4 linked regions of the Bombyx mori genome follow. The protein of the gene in region 2 binds, or shares a complex with, the protein of the main gene of each other region. Links are inferred from orthologs where the notes say so. Each region holds a gene or a part of one and is shown on either strand. Other genes may lie near its edges.

Region 1 (5,562 bases), on a different chromosome or scaffold from region 2:
GGTTAAACGTACGATACCAAATAATACCTTATCAATTTTCTTTTCGATAATTTGACTTAGCTTAGCCAGAACAGGAAAATGAGGTAAGACTCTTATTAGAACTATGAGGGCGTTACGTATTTGCACGTAGTCGCCTGAATCCAAGCAAACAACCATTGCTTTGGTTATTTTATAATGCCATTTGTGGCACACGTGCCTGAAAACCGATTACATGATTAGTGAACATTCGAAGTATCGATTACGAGTTATCGATTTTTTTACGAATTAATTTGAAGTATTCAAAGAGTGAACGATATAAGTTTATATTAACATATTAGATCACCAGAAGATTTTCGGTTGCTTTTTCGAAAGCTTTCATGATTTTGTGTCTACCACTTTATCAATTCAGACTTAAGCATTTTCATGCAAACACATTAATCATGCAGTAAGATCAGATCACAGTATTGCAGAAATGTAGTCCACCTGTAGTTTTCATATCCGACATGATCATTAGCTTCAGTGAACTGCTTGGAGACGCGGTACTTGGTGACGAAGCCGGGGTAGTGCGCGCACTCTCGGTGGAAGGCGTCCTTGTCGGCGTGCCAGCGCATGGCGGTCGTCAGCACCTTGCAGAGGAACGTGCCGTACCGCGCCGCCTCCGCCTCCGTGCAAGACATCACCGAATACGTGATGTCGCAAAACAACTGCGGGCAAATTCATTTTTCAGTCAAATATGTCTTCGCAATCCGCACGGCTAGGTACCACCACCCTGCCTATTTCTGCCGTGAAGCAGCAAGCGTTCCTGTTTGAACGGCGGGGCAGCTGTTGTAACTATACTGAGACATTAGAACTGATATCTCAAGGTGGGTGGCGCATTTAAGTCGTAAATGTCTATCTAATGTCCAGTAACACCTTAACACCAAGTGGGCTGTGAGCTCATCCACCATCTAAGCAACAAAAAAAAACTCTTATAATTAAAATAGAAAAATTTAGCAATCGTAATAAAAAAAAAATTAATCACTTGATAAATGTCTTAATATTCATTAATAATAAATCTCGACAACGCTTTGCCGCACGTTTCCCACTTGCTCCTAAAGCTTCTATCGCCATCTATGGTCGATTGATCGTAATTTGTACATAATCCGAAATGCATCGCACAAGATGACGAATGATTTACAATTTGCCAAAGTTAGTATTGTATGCTATCTAATAATTTGACTTGTACTTTGCATGAATGTAGTGTTTTCTTTAAAATGAATTTAAACTCACTTCTAATTTTATATTTTATCATCATGAACTTGAGAGATGCGGAGTCGATGATGAACCTGAAGGGTAACAAACCTCTTGAAACACTATTAATAAATTTATTGAGTACCTAATTAAACTCTTTCGCAAAACGTTGTATATATTAGGTCCTTACATATGAAATTATCGTTTTTTCGTATTGATCACTTTGATCTGTAATATCTCCTCTTTGGTTAAGAATTTCAAATTCAAATTTATAAATTCATTTAGCTGGTACATGTAGGTTTTGAAAACAGTCATTCATTTGTTTTTTCCTCATAAATTTTTTTTTGTTTGGCGTCGCATATTACCGCACAATGGAAAACATGAAATATCGGTATATTTACGAGTACGAGTTCTACCGTGGCACCAGTGCTGCAGAAACAGCTCGAAGGATTAATGATGTGTACGGCGCTGGTGTCGCAAACTATTGTTTAAAATAAAAAAACGGTTTGTATGATTTTAAATGTGCAAAAATAATAATAATTTCTTCGCAGTCTACTCACTCTATCATAACACAGAAGAGTGGAGAAATTGGGAGTCTTCAGAGAGTGCACGGTATGCACGAACTCGGCGCAGTAGAGGGCATCGGCCGCCGTGAACACGCAGCGCGGGAATATGCACAGCTGCATGAGCCGCGTCACGGTCTCGTTCTTGGCGGAGCGGACCGCCCGCGCCGGGAACCAGTCCTCGCACTCGCGCGCCAGCCGCGCCCGCACCGCCGCCACGTGCGCGGCCTGTCGGCGCCGCTCCTCCTGCAGACCAAATGCTTACTGACACTTCCGCCTCTAGTCTAATCTAAGGTAGGTGACATCTGTCACGACAGTACCATTTGCCCACTGAGTTTCTCGCCGGATCTTCTCAGTGGGTCACCTACACACGTTAGGGTGTAGCGGAAATAGCCTCTCAAGACTATCAGAATAGGTAGGAGAAAAAACCAGTACCATGTGGAACTTTTGGTATTGCTGACGTCCATGAGCGACGGTAACCACTTACGGGCCGTAAGCTCGTCTGCCTGCTCGGACAATAAAAAAAAAGAAAAAGGATGAGGTAAACATTTCTGGGAGTATTTAACGCATCTCACGGGCCAACTACGGACAAGGCTGAATACCATATATTTGGCCAAATAACTGTAAAAAAAACTGTTTTCAGTCTGTGTGCAGAATATATATGTAATACTCTGCATAAATTAGAATTTTTTTTAATTTTTGGTAATTTAATATTATTAAATGTTTGTGCAAAAAACTTATAGACAAGGACAATAAGGAAAAAAGGCAATATACATAAACACTGGAATAATCTGTGCGAGATTTCATTCCAATTGAATTAAGAATTGTTAATGTACAATCAGTAAGTTCAACATTTATGAATGCCCTTGAGTTGATATCCTTTGTTAGTTTTTATTAAAATAAGAAACATTAATATTTATATCTTACCTGTAGTTTTTCGATGAGCGTATTGAAACGTTCCTGTTCTTTCTTAACTTTGGTTCCTTGAGACGAATCCTTGCTGACGTTAGCTGCTGCTGTTTTTAAGCGTTCTATTTCCCTCTCGTAACTTTCGACCGGCACTCGAAGATCGTACATGGATAATGACCTAACAAAATTATTTTAACTTAAAAACAGATGTCTCTAATCGTACTAAATAAAAATTATTTATTAACTTTTCTACAAACCAGAATGTAACGTAAAACTCAGGCGAAATGTCTTCTAAAACCCTCGCAGGCAGCATCGGTTGTATCGACGATACAATAGGCTCCAAGGCTTCCTTTGATGCCACATTGTATCTTTCTATAATCTTCTCTATTGAATCCGATTTGCTGTCCGATGCTTTACGTAAAGATTCCAACTTGGCGGATATCTTTTGGTTTATAACTGGACGATGCAAAAAGAATGCGACATCTGCATCTACATGGTAATCACGCAGCAGTTCCTAAGTAAAATTAACCAAATTTAAATAAACTAAAATTAACAAAAAGTTTACAACTGCCTCGTAGTATTGACTCTTCTGAGCGTTACTATAATACTAACTCTCTGTCTTACTCATGGCCGACGAGCTCACAATGCACCTGGTACGAAGTAGTTACAACCGAAGCCCGTTAAGCACAATATCAATGCATTACACCAACTTGAGATAAAGTCTTAATTGTATTGTATGTAACGGCTGCACCACCCTTCTGCAAGACTGTTCAGAGGTCGCAATGGGAAGGATGGTGACACTTCACTATGCTCCCTAATAGCAGTAACTACTCATTAACTTTATTAGGAATTCAATTAATTACCTGTAACGATGGCAGCCTCGCCGCATATTCATCGGGAGCATGTGACGATGCTAAGAATGTACCAAGCTGAACCAGAGCATCCTGACATTGGTCTGCCAATCTACCCACCACCTTTAGCTGGGACCCTGGAGGTTCGCCACTTATTTGAATGTCATCTTCGTATTCTGGGAATAACAATATATTTTATTTACTTATTATTCACTCAAAAGCACTGTATTATTTGATGTATTCATTTACCTTTCCAAACACAACAATGTCTCTGTTGCGCCGCCAATATACAAAGAGATATGTCTAAGTTGTTTCCGACTATGGCATCTTTCAGTCGCGCAGAAGAGCGTCTCGTGTTACGCACTTGTGAAAAGTAACCAGCCTGTACAAATGTGTGATTTGAATAACTGAACAAAAAATCAGATTTAGCTTCAGCTTAATATTTTTTTACCTCTCCTTTAAGTAGTTCACCTCCTGCCATAGCCTCTAACTGCTCGGGTGTCATTTCCTCAGCAGCTTCTATACCGGCCATTTTTTGTACTATTTCTTTTAATACTATCAGGTCTTGACTGAAAATATATGATTTTTATTACATTGCGAATCTTCGTTGTTCATACTGTTACGCCGGTAAGAGCATCGCCATCTATCGTCGAATAGCAGAAACGAATATTAAAAGAACTTATAAAATCGAGAACGCTCAAGAAGTACAACGCTATCTATAGTCAAATAGCACATATTATAGCACATATTGAAACTACTCGACTTGTCAGGTATGTTCTCGATAACAAAATTCTAGGGATGTGGTATCTACTATAAAAGCATTGCAGAGATGACCCAGAATTAATTAGTAACCGAATCTACTCGAAGCGAAACGGCGAACGGATTACCTGAAGTGTAAGTGTTTTAAGTGTTAAATAGAATTTGAATTTGTACTTCGGTGGAAGTTTTATTTATTCCGAACACCAGCGCCTAACAATACTTTGTAACCGAATGCATACCTCTGTTGAGCTTTGAGTCGATTAGCAACAAACTGCAAAAGAGCAGTTAACTCAATATTGTGTTTCTTGAAGGCTGCCCCGGCGAACGAGGCTAGTGCTTGTAGCCACGCAGGTGGCGTCGAACGTCGAGAGCCTAAAGCCTCAACTAAACAGTATCCCAGAACATCTAAAGATAGAGACGTCAAATATTTCATGGATTCTACTACTGGTCCTATCAGATTGTCGTATGTTTGTATCTGGAACAGAAATTATTGTTTTATAGCACATTCATAAAACATTAAAGGAAGAAGTAAAACTGTTTTATGGACTGAATGCCAATTACCTGCAAGAGCACGTAATCAAACAGAAAGGCCGGGGCGGCGTGCGACAGTTTCCCGATGAGACGACCTTGGGGCTTGATATTCTCTTTGGATACTCGTTTCATTATGTGTTTTATTTTCTGCAATGAGTTCCCCCGGACACGAATGAGAGCAGGTATTCGTTCGCCAGCCTCATTTTTCCAACGCGCATAGAGACAGTATCTTAAATAAGTTTGCAAAATAAAATAAACATCAAGATTTATGTAATTTAGCATATTTTATTAGTTATTAATTATTCTTTACCTGCACTGATATGGATATAACTTAAGTAATGTGTACACCTCTTCAGCCATACAACAATTCCCTTCCATCAGTGTAAGAGCCGGTAATATTGCGGTATCCAAAACGGTTAGTGCCTCAAAATGTAACGGATCATCTTTTTGACCGCGAGCAGTTCTAAGTATTCTAATGACCTAATAAAAAAATCAAAATTGAGTGGGTGAGCGTAAACTCAATAAATGGTGATGAATCTCCTTTTAGAATTTTCAAATGGTGCAATTAAAACCTATCAGATGCTAAATGGATAATCCTTTCCTTACTTAGTTTCCCAATGATAATCTATTTGTTGTGTGACTTTTTAAAGTGATAATTTGTTCTCAGACGGCTACCGCGCATTGTCGTGCATTTATACACTATGATTTGTACACGATCGCACTCGCCTTCCGACAGTGTT
Region 2 (4,809 bases):
TATAATCATTTTTCATTAACAAAATTATAAAAGATTAGAATGTATGGTATGATACCTTTGCCTAGTTGCAAAAATAGAACTCTACTCCAATTATTGGTCTGTGCAACAAGTACCTATGTACAGTGGACTTTTTGGCGGGAACGCGAGGAGTGAAGCTGTGTGATTTGCTTTTTGTCTATTTAGTGTTTCTTCAGGTTTAAATGTGTAATAATGGTGGTTTATTAACTGTTTAATATCTATGAAAGTGCACAAATGTGGGGAAATGAAACAAAGCCGCTGGACGTAACTTCTCGGGATCCTCCGAAAAAATCTCAGTAAATGACCACTATTTCATTGAGATTATATTTCATCCCATCATATCTTTTCATCTCATTTCATTTAATTTCATCCCAGTTGATTAATGTAAATTAATAATCTTCATTTCATTTCACTCCATATTACCATTATTCATAAAAATAAGAATTTATATTAAAATAAGACATGACCTAAAGGTATTAGTTACCAGATCATAAAATTCCTTAAGAAAAAAAATTAGTAGAGCTATGTACACTATGTATATACCTGTAAATCCTGTCATAATATAAACTTAACCTAATGTTAATAATATTATGAGTAATTAAGTATTAATTTTGTGCGACCTAATCTATCAGCGTTAATCATGCTTATAGAATAAAAAACAATACAGCATTACTGCTCGCGACTTTACTTTTACTTTCAACATATAGTCACAACAGCTGTTAATTAATAATTGTAACTATTGCTCTGTGTAAATAGAACATAAAAGCAATCGATTTGCTCTGAAAATTCAAGTATCTTTTTTAATAGAATGGCATCCGAAGAACAAAAAGCTTTATCTACATTTCTAAAAGATGTGCATTCTGCCCTAAGAAACTCCACAAGTCAAATCGGGGTCGAGAAAGCTTGGAAGGCACATAGCAAAAATACAGAGATCCTTAAAAAATATGCACAGTGTATGGAAAAATTGGCTACAACATATTGGGAACACAGTGAGACTATATCAAGAATAGATTGGACAGCAAAAATTTGTTATGAATATTTCATAAACAAAACTTACTTACATTACCGTGAACAAGAACAAAACATAGCAAATAAAATGCAACTAAAATTAAACACTGTAGAATCATTTTCAGAAGTACTGAAGTTGGTTGATGTTGGCAGTTGCTATAATCCTTTTAAGTTATATAATTATTTTGATGTTTTTGCTATTGATTTATGCCCTGCTAATGAGTCTGTATTACAGTGTGATTTTTTAGATACACCAATTGGCACTAGAACCGTAATTGAAGACAATAAAGTTAAAGAAATAGGAGAAAATAGCTATGAAAGTGTGACATTTTGTTTTTTATTAGAATATATTCCAACTTCCCAGCTTCGAATAACTGCATGTCAAAAAGCCTATGACATATTGAAACCTGGAGGGTTGCTTACTGTTACCACACCGGATTCAAAACACGTTGGAGCAAATAGCAAAACAATGAAGTGCTGGCGTTATGCATTAGCCTTAATGGGTTTTTCAAGAATTCGTTATCAGAAATTTCAACACATGCATTGTATGGCATTTCGAAAGTGTTTATTGAAAGATGTAGCTATTCGCTGGGCTAATATTCATAAAGAACCTTTTATGGAATATGCACTACATATACCACAAGATTTTAATACTAATGAAATTAGTAAAAATTCTGCCCAAAACCAAGTCATCCATCACATAATTGATGATTTTCAAGAATTGCCATTCTATAACATGAACGAATGATTTAATATGTAATTAAAATGCTTAACAAATATTGACTTAGTAGAATGTTTTATTTATTTAAAACAATACTTATATACTAATCTTAATTTGTTAGAGTAGACTTTCCATTATCAGAAACATGTTCTATGCAACAGCACCAAATTTGGCTTTACGTTTTTCCAATTTCTCCTTTAGTTCAATATCTGTCATTATTTTGGAAACAGATTCACCAAACCTCTCTGCTCGCTTTCTAAGTTTTTCCATATTTTCGTTTAACGTCCCTGTACTAGTGAAGGTGTTCTGATTATCATTTTGATTAAACCTTTGTTTCCTGGCTTCCTTTCTCTCAGACTCGGACATTTTAATAGGCAAACCAAATCTTTTAGCACGCAACTCTAACCTTTTCTTTGGATCTAGATCAGTATTTATTTTAATGACATTATTACTTTCGGATGCCGTTTTCGGCTCTACAGATTTTTCATTAATTTGATCATCAACAGTTTTAGAACTGACAAGTGAAATTGATGAGGGTCTATTCAACACAATTTTCTTTGCACTAGCATTTTCTGCACTTTTATCTTTGGTTTCTGCGTTGGTTTTGCGTTTTAATGTTCGTGTTGATTTTGTTTCTACAGCGATTGTCGCAGTAGAAGACTGTTCCGAAAGAACTAAATCTTCGTTTAAAGTGTCCACGGCAGTATCATCAAGTACGTCTGTTTGGCTTTTAACTTCTTCGTCTTCAAAAACTCCGTCCGAGTCCATTTCGTCAAATTCAAAGTTGATGTCGGTGTGTTCATCTTGAGATATAATTGCAGCTTGTAGTCTAGCGATTAACTCTGCTTTGTCGCCGGCGTATGAAAGTCCACGTGATTTTAATTCTTTACGTAGTTCAACAACTTTCATCTTAGTCACATCGGAAACTGTTGAATCCGCCATAGTAATCAAAAGTAGTTTACGTTATTGAACAAGGAACTTTTAGAATGCTTACACGCGATGCTTAGCGTTAGCTTACACTAGAAATTAGAAATACGAAGTGTATAATCTATGTTCACTACTTTTTTTAAGAGATTTTATGACCTGGTAACTAACACTTTTAGGTCATGTCCTACTTTAATATTTAATATTCTTAATTTTATGAAAAATTATATGGAGTAAAATGAAATTAAGTGAAGATGATTAATTTGAGACATTAATCAACCAGAATGAAATTAAATTAAATAAGATGAGATGATATGAGATGAAATAAATCTTAGTCAAATATTTACGGAGATTTTATCAGTTGACTTTTTGGAGGATCCCGAGAAGTTACGTCCAGCGGCTTTATTTCATTTTCCCACATTTTTGCACTTTCACAGATATTAAACAGTTAATAAACCACCGTTATTACACATAACGGCCATCTGGTGTAGTGGTAAGTGACATGGTCACTACACAAGGGGGTCGCGGGTTCGAATCCCGCCAAGGGAAGATATTTGTATGATAAATATAAATGTCTTTTCCAGGGTTATGGATGTATATTAAATATATGTATGCGTATAATAAAAATCTTACATTTAAATCCGTTATCTGGTACCTGTAACACAAGTTCTTTACGAACTTATCACGGGACCAGTTAACGTGGCGTGATTGTTAGTAAATATTTATTTATTATTATTTATTATTTAAACCTGAAGAAACACTAAATAGACAAAATTAATCAAATCACACAACTTCACTCCTCGCGTTCCCGCCAAAAAGTCAGTTAGATTACAACGTAAAATGGAGCATAGATTACACGCTTAATTAAAATAGCTGCGAAATTTACACAACAACGTAAGTACCTGACAGACTAAAAGAGGGTAGAAGTTTAAACAGCACAATCTCTGAAAAAATGTGTGGAAAAGTGATTAAATGACTTTTTTACCGGGAACCCGGCATTGTGTGAATTGATTAATTTTATTTAATTTAGAATTTCATTTCGTCATGCTTAAACGTGTTATTACGGCAGCTTAAATTCCGATCCGGTGATAGATTCTGCGAAACACTCCTCTTGCTAGAGCTAGTATTAACAAACTTTCTCAGATTGAGCAGGTTGTAAGTTCACCCATCCGCGAGAACCTGGAATAGGTAGGGAAAACATTTATGTAATTAATAAGTACAAAATCTCTAAAAAATGTTCCAATTATACGCCGTATTTCTAATCAAGTGATATTAAGAGTGTTCATGTCGTAACTACGTTCATGCTTTGAAATTAGAAAAAACTTGAGTCTATCCAAATGATCGGAAATCGGAATAAAGTTCACAATAGAGTCATACAGTCATACACAGAGCATTTAGAAAGATAGGCGAAAGTTTCTATTTGATTAAAGCCAATGAGGACGTAATTTGACTACAAACAAAGGTTGAAAAATTTATTAAATGTATTAGTATGTAATTTTAAAATATTTTTCATAAAGAATTGGTTGCCTGTAATCAGCGACACTATTCAGTTATGTGATTTTATTTAAAAAAAATGGTCGAAGCCCATTCATAGATAAAGATAATCCTTTTTAAATCACTTAGTTATTGTGGAGTTTCTTCCGTCAGGATTATAGTGTAGGTAGGTATGTAGTCTTTGGTTATGCATTAAATTTCCGTGCGAAATTTCAATTCATATCATAACATTAGAGGGTAGCTACTTATTTAAAATTTCAATGAAAATCCAGTTTGATGGGCATAGATAATACCTACATTTAATAGAAGATTTATGGGTAGTTTTTAAAAGTAACGATACGCGACTACTGTCGTCAATTCAACTCTGTAACCATAATGGACGGTGCAATCAATAATGATGATCAAGATCAAATTGTGGAGCAACTTCTTAGTGAATACGACGAAATAATTATGCCTCTGCCGGCGTATGCGTCTGAACCTCACCTTCTAATTTCTCGGGTATAATTACTTTCAATAATAAATTTATAAAAAATTAGATTCACTACAAATCTATGGCAATTTTATCTGTTGAGTAACTTAATTACTAAGGTAAAATGAATGCATCGAAACACCGGAACAAAAATAAGATAAAACAATGTTTAAAA
Region 3 (6,114 bases), on a different chromosome or scaffold from region 2:
TATCAAAGTTACAAGTACTCAGTATCAAGTGTCTGAGATATGTGTGGAATATGTCATATGTATATTTGTAAGGGGAAACAATGTGAATCATATGACTGGCACCCTCACCAGGACAGATTAAAAGCAGTCATACTTCTGTCATGCCTAACTTTCTACTAACCGTTATGATGCTACTCAGCACGATAGCGCTTTAATGTATAAAATGACAATTGGGATGCAATGCTATCGCCCAAAAACTTAGGTAAGCTCTTGGTCCTGAGTGCATGTATATGTTTTGAACTGTTTATATTATTGCAATTCAAGTTTGGCTTCAATATTTAAAAGAAATTCAGGATTTTAGCTACCTACAGCATTTTAGGGACAAAACTAAAAAAATATTCAGAGCTGAAACGGTTAAAATATGTACATTCAGATATCAGTTACACACTGTGAAAACATACTTACTGATCTAATAATATCAGGAGGTGCATTTTTATAGAATTCTTCAAGAGGCACAAGATCTATTTCTTCATCTTTAGATTTGAATTGTAAACATTTAGTTACTTCTTTGTTTAAGTGATCTGCTTCGTAAAGTAAATTTTGTAACAGTAAATGTGTGGAATCAACTCTCTGTTTCTCTTTATGGAGCGCATCACGACCAGCTCTAGTTCGTACTTTCTCCAGGCGATTTAATTTCTTTAACGCAACCAGCAGTAATGAAGCTTCCACTCTTTTTGCATTTATCTTTTCTTTAGCCTGTAATTATAACTTTTGCCTTAATTGCATTGTTCCATATTTTATATTATTTAACATTAATTACAATTCATAATATAATCTAATCATGTCCATTTTTTTTTTTTATTTGTCGAGCCGGGTGCCGAACCTCCTACGAGGTCCCCGCGTCTAGGGGGGTGTGGGACTTTACGATCTGGTAGTCAACACTACAACCAGACACGCGACGCCACCCTGAAGACGCCGGATCGACGAGTCCTCAATGCGACAGTCGACGACAACGAAGCCGGTCTCCGCGGTACGACAGCCCTGCCAGGCCGCCCGGGCGATGCCGCTGGTGTTCCGGGATACCCAGCTGGACCAGAACCAGCCTGCCGGGTCAGAACGCGATACTCCTGCAGACGACGAAGGCCACCCATACACAGGAAAGATGTCCCTCCCCCGGGTAACGACCAAAGTGTCGTCCGTGTAACAAGCTACGCTCAGACCCGGGAGAGGAGTGCTAAGGGCACCCCGCAGGACCCAGTTCGTAGCCGACATTCCACAAGAGAGGGCCAAGGACCGACCCCTGTGGGACACCACGCTCGACGGGAAAATGGAGCACCGCCCCACAGTGCCCGGTGCACACGGCCATCCTGTTCTCGAGGTAGGACCCGACTCTTATTATGTCCTGCATTAACTATTAATTGAAAAGTGGCATACCTCCAATGTTTCTTTAGTTTTTAACTCTGCAATCTCTTTAAAAAGTTGCCTTATGTCTTGGCATGTTTTATTGAAAAAGGCAGCATCCTTATCAGCTGGACGCAGATGAGCTTCAGCTTCTTCAAATTCAACAACACGCTGGAACAATCCATTTAAAACACATTTTGTAATGAATGAAGAATCTTGAAAAATAAAGACAATTTTTTTGGTGTACTGGGATCTTGTTCAGTTTACAACTTCTCTAAGTGTTAATATTAAACTTGTTTTGAAGATCACAAGATATTTCACGAACAGGATTCACTTAATTTTTATTTTTGTTAATAATAAGTTAAAACTGAAACAAAAACTTCAACAGAAAATATAAAAGCAACAGCTTGCTAAACCAGGAGCCACAAATATAAATTCTCATTTATTAGTAGAACTATGTACTTAAATTTACATTATTATACATATTTATGGTACAGAATAATGAGTCTTGAGGTTATGTTACATCTTATATATTTTGGTCAATACCTTGTATACATCAACGGGAACTGGCTTTGTTCCGTCATTTGATGTACTTGTATTTAATTTGCGCCGTTTCTTAACAGCCGTTACTTCTTCTTTTCCCATGTTTAGTTTTATTCAAGTTTATCAGATTTCATCCAAGTCTGGAACTTTAAAAAAATCACTAATTTAAACAGACAATTACAACCTTACTGCCTATTCACTCTATTCACTGGATTTGTTTTTATATATTAAAGCTTTTACTAGCATCGTTCACGGTAATGTTTGAATTATTTTTCTTTTAATGTTAGCCTTTAATTTGAAAGGTAGTCTTTAACTATGATTTTTTTTAAATTATACTTCATTATTGTACCTACTCAGCAATAGACATGCGTAGTTCCGGACCTAAATAGTTCCTGGAACTATGTCCTCATATGGAACTATATCATTCAATCCGAGTTGTCAAAATTAACATGTTCAGACAGTTCCATTTCCATTCCAAGTGTACTGTTATGCAGGAACTACGAACGCGTTGAACATGACGGACATGCGGACATGATTAGAGCATAGGTACCGCGCGGCGCGGAGGCGTGGCGCGGCGAGTCCACCCGAACGAGTCTCGAACCGACACGAGTCCACGTAAAGAGATAAGGCGACATATGGCACGAATACGAGAGAGTGAGATGGAGCGAGTGCATGAAACTGCGTGTGGAGCTCTTTCATATTACATTTTTATTAATATTGAAGTTATGCTCTACGACCTACGTGTTACAGTCGATAGTTGAATAAATTAAAATGTTTTGCTATGGATTTTGACCTTGACCATGCATCATTCCTACGAGCACTTAACCTTAAGTGTTTGTAGACCATTTCTTAGAAAATCATAATTCAAAATTCGAGAATTTTAAAACATTCACCACTTTCGCTATTCGGTATCTCGGTTATGGGAAAAAGGTTGTAAGGCTACAACGAGCTCAATTTACGTTGTATATCAGAATAACGTGGTATTTTAATTAACAACTGATAGGTTATAGTTTTCGGTGCATCGTACAATACCTACATTGAAAAATAATGAAAGTAGTAGAGTAGTTGAAATTATGACAAAGTAATTACAGTACATTAATAAATTATGCAACCAGCTGTAACAATGAACCTAAAACTAAAAACCTTACAAAATAATATTACAATAATAATTGCCATAAGCGGCAATCTATTTTTATATAGTGCTTTTAAAAAATTGTATTTTTAATACCTTTTTTGAAAAATATTGTGTAATTAATAATAACTTAATACGTGATTCGCTACACTACAAACAGTTACTAGACTTAACATGTCCGCGGAACTAAACAGCTTCAAACAGCTACTAGACTTAATATGTCCGCGGAACTAAACAGCTACAAACTACAAACAGCTACTAGACTTAACATGTTCGTGAAACTAAACAGTTCCGCGAACATGTTTACTGGAACTAGTTCCGACACTCAAAAGAACGATGTCATGTTCAATCCAGTTCCGAACATGATTAGCGCACGTCTACTCAGCAATAGCAACTCTCCATAAATGTCAGTAAATGTCAGTTAAGCATCCTCAAATATTACCTATGTGATAATCTATGTGTGCATCTCTCAGCTCATAGATTTCGACTTTTTGGCGGGAATGCGAGGAGTGAAGCTGTGTGATATGTTTTATTTTGTCTATTTGGTATTTCTTCAGGTTTGAATGTATGATAATGGTGGTTTATTACCTGTTTAGTATTTGCGAAAGGGCACAAATGTGGGAAAATGAAACAAAGTCGCTAGACGTAACTCCTCGGGATCCTCCAAAAAGTCCACTGAAAGAATCTCAGTAAATGACCACCATTTTACTGAGATCATAAATATTTCATCCCATATCATCTCATTTCATTTAATTTCATCCCAGTTGATTAGTTATCTAGTTTATTTTATATAAAATGACTATGATCCCTTTGCCTCTTTAAGTACACAAAACAAAGGACATTTGTTTTTGCTTTCCACCTTGAGAAGGTCAAAAATATCACTGCTGTAATCGCGCCAGCAACCAAATCCTTATATTTTGCCAAACCCGGCTTGTAAGGTGCAATTTTGTTAAATAAGGATATCGCTTAATTTAAGGTTTGTAATTTATTATTATTATGATGTGTATGGATTACAAAAAAGTGGAGTAGTGCAAAAATTTTCAATACAAAAAAATTAGATGCCGATCATTAGCCATCCAATTTTACGTAAATTTCATTGTATCCGTTGAAAATGACTAATTCTTAAACCCCGTGAGCGCAATGAATTTGTAATAAACATTTTAAATCAAAAAATATTTTAAAGTAGGAATTATGATTGTACAACCTATGTTTGACCTTGCCGGCGCATCTCATTCGATTAGCGTTAGCAATAGAAGTAAAAGTAATAGAATTAATCCTTTAATACCCTCAATCGATACAATAAATCTTTTTGCAGTATTCAAGGTAAGTCTCGTGACTAGGCTGTGTGCTTTGGAAATCAGAAGTAGTAATAAGTTGAAATAATGGGGTGTTTTATTAAGCAAATAAGAGTGTCAAGATCCTAAATGGGAAATTGGTGGTTGTATTTTAGGTCTCGGTGGTTCTATGTCTAAGATTTTAAAGGTTGCGTAAATTGCTGGATGTGGGCTATGTAAGACCAGTCATTGTGGTAAACCTTGCTTATATACAGCAGTAAATTTCTGTGGGCTGATGATCCTGAGGTCACTGGGTTTAAATCATACTTTCAATTTAATGACTTGTCCCATACATTTCTATCAACAGATGAACAAAAAAGATATCTGAAAAAATTGAAACTAAATTGCCAAATCTAAAATTCACATATACTAAGCATTATATAGAAATACAATAAAATAGTAATTTTGTATTGATTTAACCTTTAGGATCTATTAAAAATTAGTTTTTTGAGATTGAGATTGCAAGTTTTTTTCTGAACTAAATGAAAATTCAAAATTTCCATCAATTTTACACATCTTTTATTTTTGTAAATTGGACAAAGTCATTTGTCCTTTTATCAAGATAGATATACCGGTATACTTTAAGTGTCTTAACCATGTTGATGGGGCATGATGACTTCTAAACTACTGCCAGTGCTCTCCAAATAAAATGAAAAATTTTTTTTTTTCTAGAAAGTCTAGTTCAGTATTAAAAATGGTAATAAAATCAATCAAGGCTCGTCAAATCTTTGACTCTCGTGGCAACCCTACTGTGGAAGTTGATCTGGTAAGTTTTTTGTTACAAATTATCAACAACTAAATTACTGAAATTCTTTGAAAAATGTAAAGTACCTTTTAATTCTGTGAACAGGTAACAGAGCTTGGCTTGTTCCGGGCAGCTGTACCCTCTGGTGCATCCACTGGTGTTCATGAAGCTCTTGAACTAAGAGATAACATCAAGAGTGAATATCATGGCAAGGGAGTTTTGACCGCAATCAAAAATATCAATGAACTCATTGCTCCTGAACTTACAAAAGCCAACCTCGAAGTAACCCAACAGAGAGAGGTAATTATTTTTAAATCTCAAACAAGAGTAGATATTTCGAAAGGACTCAAAAAAAACTTGAGTGTGGTATTAACATTCAATTGAAGTGGAATTAATATTGATAGGATTTTCATATTAACAAGAAATGTATTTAATAGTTTAAAAATAATATTAAATATATTTAAAAAAGTATATGTCAGCTATGTAAACCTTTTAAATTAACAGATTGATGAACTCATGCTTAAGTTGGATGGCACTGAGAACAAATCCAAACTGGGTGCTAATGCTATCCTTGGAGTTTCCCTAGCTGTTGCTAAGGCTGGTGCTGCCAAGAAGAATGTTCCGCTGTACAAGCACTTGGCTGATTTGGCTGGAAATAATGACATTGTTCTACCTGTACCAGCATTCAATGTGATCAATGGAGGATCACATGCTGGAAATAAACTTGCCATGCAGGAATTCATGATTTTCCCTACAGGTAATTTAATTTTTTAAATTATTAGTGGTAGGACTTCTTGTAAGTCAGAATGGATAGGTACCACCAGTCTTCCTGCTATATATGCCGTGAAGGCGTAAAGCATTTCTATTCGTAAGGTGGGGCAGCCATTATACTATAAATTGAGACTTAGAACTAATGCCTCAAGGTTGTTATTTTACCACTTAAAACCAGCTGGGCTGTGAGCTAGTTCACCCATCTACGC
Region 4 (5,370 bases), on a different chromosome or scaffold from region 2:
TTGATCCTGGGTGAATTGGAGGAATCATTTGACATTGCACGGCAGAGAAGTACTGGGTGTTCTGGTTTGATAAGATAGCCACTATTTTAAAGCAATTTCAAGTAAAATTCTCAAATGTAAATGGAGCAACATTTTTTGGCATTGTAGTATATAGTTTAACCATCTTTAACATACATTCATAACATACATATTATTGAATTCTTATCTAACACTAATTATAAATTAATATGGATAGTTAAACTTACCTTAAACTGAAATATATACATGCCAGCGATCACAGTGTAATAGTCAGCAGACAGGAATGATAGATGCAATAAAATAGACCCAGCATCTCTCAGCATAAAACATTGTAATATCTGGAATATTGTTTGTACTGTGCAGTAGCTTCCCAATTGCACAATCGTCTCTAACTCATACCAGTTAAAGTTCATCAATTCAAGGAATTCCAGAAAGAATGTTTGAGTGCAAGATACAAAGCTACCCACAATACCGAGGATCGCTAAATAGTCTGAGCATGTATGAGTTTTGAGCATCAGTTCTTGAAGCACTGTGACTGTTGCAAACAATAATGATCCACCAAGGCATAGCATATCGCCTACTAGTTGATTTTTACCTGAAAAATATCAAATTCATTTTCAGAATATTTTAACTTATTTCAGTAACTGCATGATTTAATAAAGGGTACACATGCATCAAATAAACACAACAAGTACTTCAATTACATTATTAATTACGACAAAAACATTGTAATACACAAAAAAATATTACTCCAATCAAAGTAATTAAATTATTTTCCAAGCAATTTAAAGTAATATTCAATTATGCTAGCAAAAGCTAGGACAACTTAAGTTGGCATTGCACTAGTATAACCTGGTAACCACTTTATAACAGTAACCACTCTACTGTGTGTTTATTGTCTAATTAGATTCACTCATCAGGGACATCAATAAAAATGTTACCAATCTACCTAAGAATGAAAGAATGTTACCATCAGTAGGAGCACCCTCAACATCAGCCCACACAACGCAGACTACAGCCATCAGGCCAAGGGTGGCTCCAGCAACATGAGAAACACCAAGTCTCTGACCACTCCAAGCACCACCGACCAGTGCTGCACCAACACCACTGCATGCTAACAGCTGTCAGCTCAACACTGATGTAAACCTCTGTGACATGACTAGCAGCCAGCCAGCTTCCACGTCAAGAACACAGGCAATGATGAGTACCCACCATCTTCTAACAACAAAATTCATTTCATTAGTTGCATTGCCCAATTAACTACTAAATATGGAATCTTTTATTGAAATGAAATACATGATTTCTATACCTAGGTATGTAATTATTTTTTTGTTTCATCTCTTTTTTAAGTAGAAATACTTGATTATTATTTAACATTTACTTTTTTATTTAACTATCTATTCAGACAGTCATCTTTGAATTGAACATTGAAAATTTAAAGGTTAATTAGGCCAGCTACCATTCCATTTCTTGTATTAATAAAGAAAAAAGCAAAACACACAACAGAATGCACAGAGCTTTCCAACATGTCACAGCTGATACTAGCTTGAATTAAGAAATGTTTTTATACTTTATTTTGCTGACTAATAAAAAGAGTAGAGCGGGAAGTTATCCCAAAGCAAAAGAATAAGAGAAAATTATCTCGATAAATGTAACATTTTATAGTTAGATTTAAATATTGGTTACTTCCACATTTGTAGTAAGAAGATATTAAGAAAACTTAGCGCACTCACCATTGAACATAAGATAGTAATAGTACCTAGTAAGTTTAATTATTTTAGTCTTGTCTTATACTTCTTTCAATAATAGAACTGGTTTAAAAGACGATATTTTTCATGTCTTAAAATTGAATTGGAACTTACTTCGTTAGCTTCTCCAGCCCGGTACAAAGTAGGCTCGGGGTAAAGAGTACAAACAGTACTAAATACGGCACGACCAGCTGCCCCGTGATAGGAAACTGCCAGGTTGCGCTTTGTAACATTGTTGTTAATATACATTTGCCGCTCAGAAATAAGGATAACACTTGACCAAGCAGTATGCTCCTCCACACTTTCCTGAAAATGCACACTTAGTTAGTTTAAGGACGTTTACCCAAAAAATATTTTATTTATTTATTTATTGATACTAGCCATCGCCCAAGTTCCGAGAAATAAATCTCGACTTTATCACTGAAACTTGACGTTTCCATTGTTTCAGTGAAAGATATTCCGAAAGTTTACTCAGCTAATTTACTGTTAAAATAGATTCAATAGTTTAAAGGGTTTAATATAGCAGTTATTCATCATTTCCTGAACAATGGATCGAAATTCGAAAGGCAAAACAACATGTGAATTGTGGTTGTGACATCTGTTTTTTTTTCTTGTTTGGCAGGCATCTCATAATAGTCTGTGGTTTTCTTTCGTCCATTGAATGAGCAAAGGGAAAATAGCCGATCAAAATCTTTTAATTAAAATAAAAAGGTTAAGCTTTGTGTTCTTAAAATCTTAAGAATTTAATCAGCGTTCAATTAAATTTTGAGATCTCAAGAAACCACGGTCAGCAATTTTGTTTCAATCAATTTTGACAGGAATGTGAAATAGTAAAGTTGTAATACTGTGTGAATGTTTTATTTAGTTTAGTTTTCTTCATCTTTAAATATAAAAATAGTTATCGTCTTATTTATATCATTTCATTTTTTATGCAACAGATATGATTTCAGGCTTTGTCGTAAAATATTTAGATAAAAAGAAGAGCATTTTTAACTTATGAGAATGTCTCCTTTGCCTATGAGTTGGATAAAAAAAACTTTTTTTTTATTAATAATTTAACCTGCCAAAATTTGGAGATAAAATATTTTTAATTTTTCTTGATTTTTGTAAATAAAACACACAAGTTAGCACTTACATATAAAGAACAAGGATAAATTTGAATTCGCTTATGATAAGATTATTTTGTAGAATAAAAACATTACCTAACAATTTATAAGGCAAACTCGGACGAGATCATAATTTCATTTGAATTTTACTCCAAACATAATGGGTGACGGTAAATAACTTTACCTAAGAATACAAAACTACTCAAAAACAAATACTATTTCAATACTCATTGGTTATTTCCAGAAGATGTGATTCGTAGAAGACTTCTGATCGACGGTGACGGTACTGGAGACGACAGGAGACTGAATGTACTTTTAAAAACTTTGATAAAATGGTGCAATACAACGGATGACAAACCGGAAGAAAGGTTGGTTTTAATAAATAGTACCGTATTAGGACGTATTGTGAGCTCACATGCGTAAACACTGTTCCACTTCCGAATTATCATAGCTTCCGCATTGATCATAGCTTCCAATTTGAAGGGTAGAATTGCCATTGTAAATTCAATTGAAACTTCTATCTCGTGTCCCAAAGGTTCTGGTAAGCATTTAATACCAGCAGGGAAATGTTGGCATCTGTTTATCTATAATAAAGAGCCTTAATATTCAATTAAGTGTTCATTAACCTTTTCATTTATTCCCCATATACATTTGTTGTTTTATTATGAGAATAAAAATCTGCAGTCAAAATGTAAGTTTTTGTAGTTCCAGAATATGTAATACGATTAAGATTTCTCGTTTTAGTAAAGCTACTCATGATCGTATGTTAGCTCAACTGGCACAATGCGAATTTGCTGTCACAAAATCGCAACTCGGTTCTGAAATGATGGCTGCTGAATTAAAAAGCTACGAAGCACTCTCGAAAATTCTAGAAAGCGGAATAGAGGTGGCCAAAGAGAACATACAGAAGAGCAAAACAGATTTAGCACAAGCAAAGACTGTCAGAAAAAACAGAATAGAATATGATGTCTTGGCTAAGGTTATCAGTGAACAGCCTGATCGTAAGGAAACCTCTGAGAGATTGAGCACTCTGAAGACTGAACTAGCAAACTTGGAAACCACCAAACAGCAATTGGAAAGTCGGTTAGCATTACGAAAGAAACAATTTCATGTGCTTGTAACTTCAATACATCAATTACAAGCATTATTAGATGAACTAGATGATGCAGAGACTATTTGTGATGATGTTGATATGAAAGAAATATCAAATGAATCATAATAATGAGTGATGTATTAGAGTATAAGATTATTTCTCTATGTGAGATTTCTAATAAAGTATGAATTTTCTACTTGATTTTTTGTTTACATTTTCAGTACTGTAAAATGGGGAGAATTGGGACACTTTTTAAGTTCGACATTGATTTGTATAGTTTTTTTTTGTTTTAGTAATAAAACGGAGATCATAATGGTTCTGGAGGCTTAAATATTTATATACAATGCGTTACTATACATTGTTCACTACAAAAATACACAAAAACTGAAAAAAATAGCTTGACCCCATTCACCTTGGCTTTGGGGTTGAATCAGGTTACGTAGGGGCCCGCGATCTGGACGGGACCTTCAGCCCGCAATGATTGCGTGCTGTGGGTCTCGTCTGCGGGGGAGATGCTGGACTTCCACCAGGCGCGTCCGTGGGTGGCGGATCACGGGATCCTCTGGGCGACATTCCCAGAGGTATGGTCCGATCTTTTTCGTTGCGAGGATTCTTAGGTTTAGGATTAGGTTTAGATGTAGGTTAAAGTCCTAGGTTTAGGATTAGGATAGTTTAGCTAGGCTTTGCCTGGTAGATCCTTTGTTGTTTTCATGACTTGTCCAAAAGTCACACTACATAGTGATCTAATGCAAACATTAAATTATGAATCGCAAATACCTTTTTTTTGTTTTAAATGGTTTCTATAAGGTTTACCTACGGTATGTAATCAAGTCGTGAAAGTGTTGTCACATCAAAAATCCCAGAAAATATCTGGTTGAAAGAAATAGCAAAAAATTTATAATAGAATACCAAACTTCCAATAAAAAAGCTAACCGGTGGTGATCGAGATATATGATTAATTGTTAAAAAGTGTTCCGTCGTTTGTGGTCTTTACAACGCCATAGGGACAGCCAAATGGCTACCATCCATTCAGAACTACAACCGCTTAACACTAGATAGATCGTAAATTCTTTGGACGATGTACACCAATAAATAGAAAACACGCCCTATTTAAGCAAACATTAAATGGTTTAAATTAATTTGTCATCAATAAAGTGCTTTATAATCGTCAGTAGACCGTGACCACTAAGGCTGTAAATCTTCGAAACATAGGAAATAGTATAATAACAGAAAAAAGTCAGATTAAACCTTAAAAGTAGTTGTAGTTGTGTCTGCGATTCGCGAAAACTTTTCTCTGCCTATTCGCTGAAAGCTTAAGAAGCTATTCCAGCTAAGTGCGGACGGTTCGGTGAGCTCACAGGCTCAATCCGAGAGAATTGGCTAACACTAGCTTTAGCAAGAGTAG

Evidence for each region. Proteins that work in one complex are often made in the same cells at the same time.
Region 1: SAP domain-containing ribonucleoprotein (region 2) and THO complex subunit 2 share a complex: the UniProt entries of both Homo sapiens proteins name them as parts of the transcription/export (TREX) complex. The link is inferred for Bombyx mori from reciprocal best matches to the Homo sapiens genes SARNP and THOC2.
Region 3: SAP domain-containing ribonucleoprotein (region 2) and THO complex subunit 5 homolog share a complex: the UniProt entries of both Homo sapiens proteins name them as parts of the transcription/export (TREX) complex. The link is inferred for Bombyx mori from reciprocal best matches to the Homo sapiens genes SARNP and THOC5.
Region 4: SAP domain-containing ribonucleoprotein (region 2) and THO complex subunit 7 homolog share a complex: the UniProt entries of both Homo sapiens proteins name them as parts of the transcription/export (TREX) complex. The link is inferred for Bombyx mori from reciprocal best matches to the Homo sapiens genes SARNP and THOC7.

Annotation. Positions count from the first base shown.
Region 1 is NC_085119.1:9,003,882-9,009,443, reverse strand, and holds part of THO complex subunit 2, read right to left. Parts: intron 5,303-5,562; coding exon 5,133-5,302; intron 5,052-5,132; coding exon 4,853-5,051; intron 4,767-4,852; coding exon 4,531-4,766; intron 4,102-4,530; coding exon 3,984-4,101; intron 3,915-3,983; coding exon 3,782-3,914; intron 3,709-3,781; coding exon 3,545-3,708; intron 3,196-3,544; coding exon 2,939-3,195; intron 2,860-2,938; coding exon 2,700-2,859; intron 2,019-2,699; coding exon 1,770-2,018; intron 684-1,769; coding exon 463-683; intron 197-462; coding exon 28-196; intron 1-27. UniProt on the Homo sapiens protein: Component of the THO subcomplex of the TREX complex which is thought to couple mRNA transcription, processing and nuclear export, and which specifically associates with spliced mRNA and not with unspliced pre-mRNA.
Region 2 is NC_085113.1:6,730,294-6,735,102, reverse strand, and holds SAP domain-containing ribonucleoprotein, read right to left. Parts: upstream 2,690-4,809; coding exon 1,898-2,689; 3' UTR 1,806-1,897; downstream 1-1,805. Other genes in the region: S-adenosylmethionine sensor upstream of mTORC1, read left to right, coding at 827-1,774; uncharacterized protein LOC101742851, read left to right, coding at 4,541-4,663. UniProt on the Homo sapiens protein: Binds both single-stranded and double-stranded DNA with higher affinity for the single-stranded form. Specifically binds to scaffold/matrix attachment region DNA. Also binds single-stranded RNA. Enhances RNA unwinding activity of DDX39A.
Region 3 is NC_085114.1:10,649,550-10,655,663, forward strand, and holds the start of THO complex subunit 5 homolog, read right to left. Parts: upstream 3,505-6,114; 5' UTR 3,437-3,504; intron 3,418-3,436; exon of another isoform or gene 3,152-3,417; intron 2,775-3,151; exon of another isoform or gene 2,164-2,774; intron 2,084-2,163; exon of another isoform or gene 2,070-2,083; 5' UTR 2,026-2,069; coding exon 1,927-2,025; intron 1,552-1,926; coding exon 1,414-1,551; intron 736-1,413; coding exon 445-735; intron 1-444. UniProt on the Homo sapiens protein: Component of the THO subcomplex of the TREX complex which is thought to couple mRNA transcription, processing and nuclear export, and which specifically associates with spliced mRNA and not with unspliced pre-mRNA.
Region 4 is NC_085129.1:4,006,451-4,011,820, forward strand, and holds THO complex subunit 7 homolog, read left to right. Parts: upstream 1-2,569; 5' UTR 2,570-3,032; coding exon 3,033-3,042; intron 3,043-3,116; coding exon 3,117-3,240; intron 3,241-3,616; coding exon 3,617-4,091; 3' UTR 4,092-4,166; downstream 4,167-5,370. Other genes in the region: solute carrier family 35 member F1, read right to left, coding at 246-613, 989-1,040. UniProt on the Homo sapiens protein: Component of the THO subcomplex of the TREX complex which is thought to couple mRNA transcription, processing and nuclear export, and which specifically associates with spliced mRNA and not with unspliced pre-mRNA.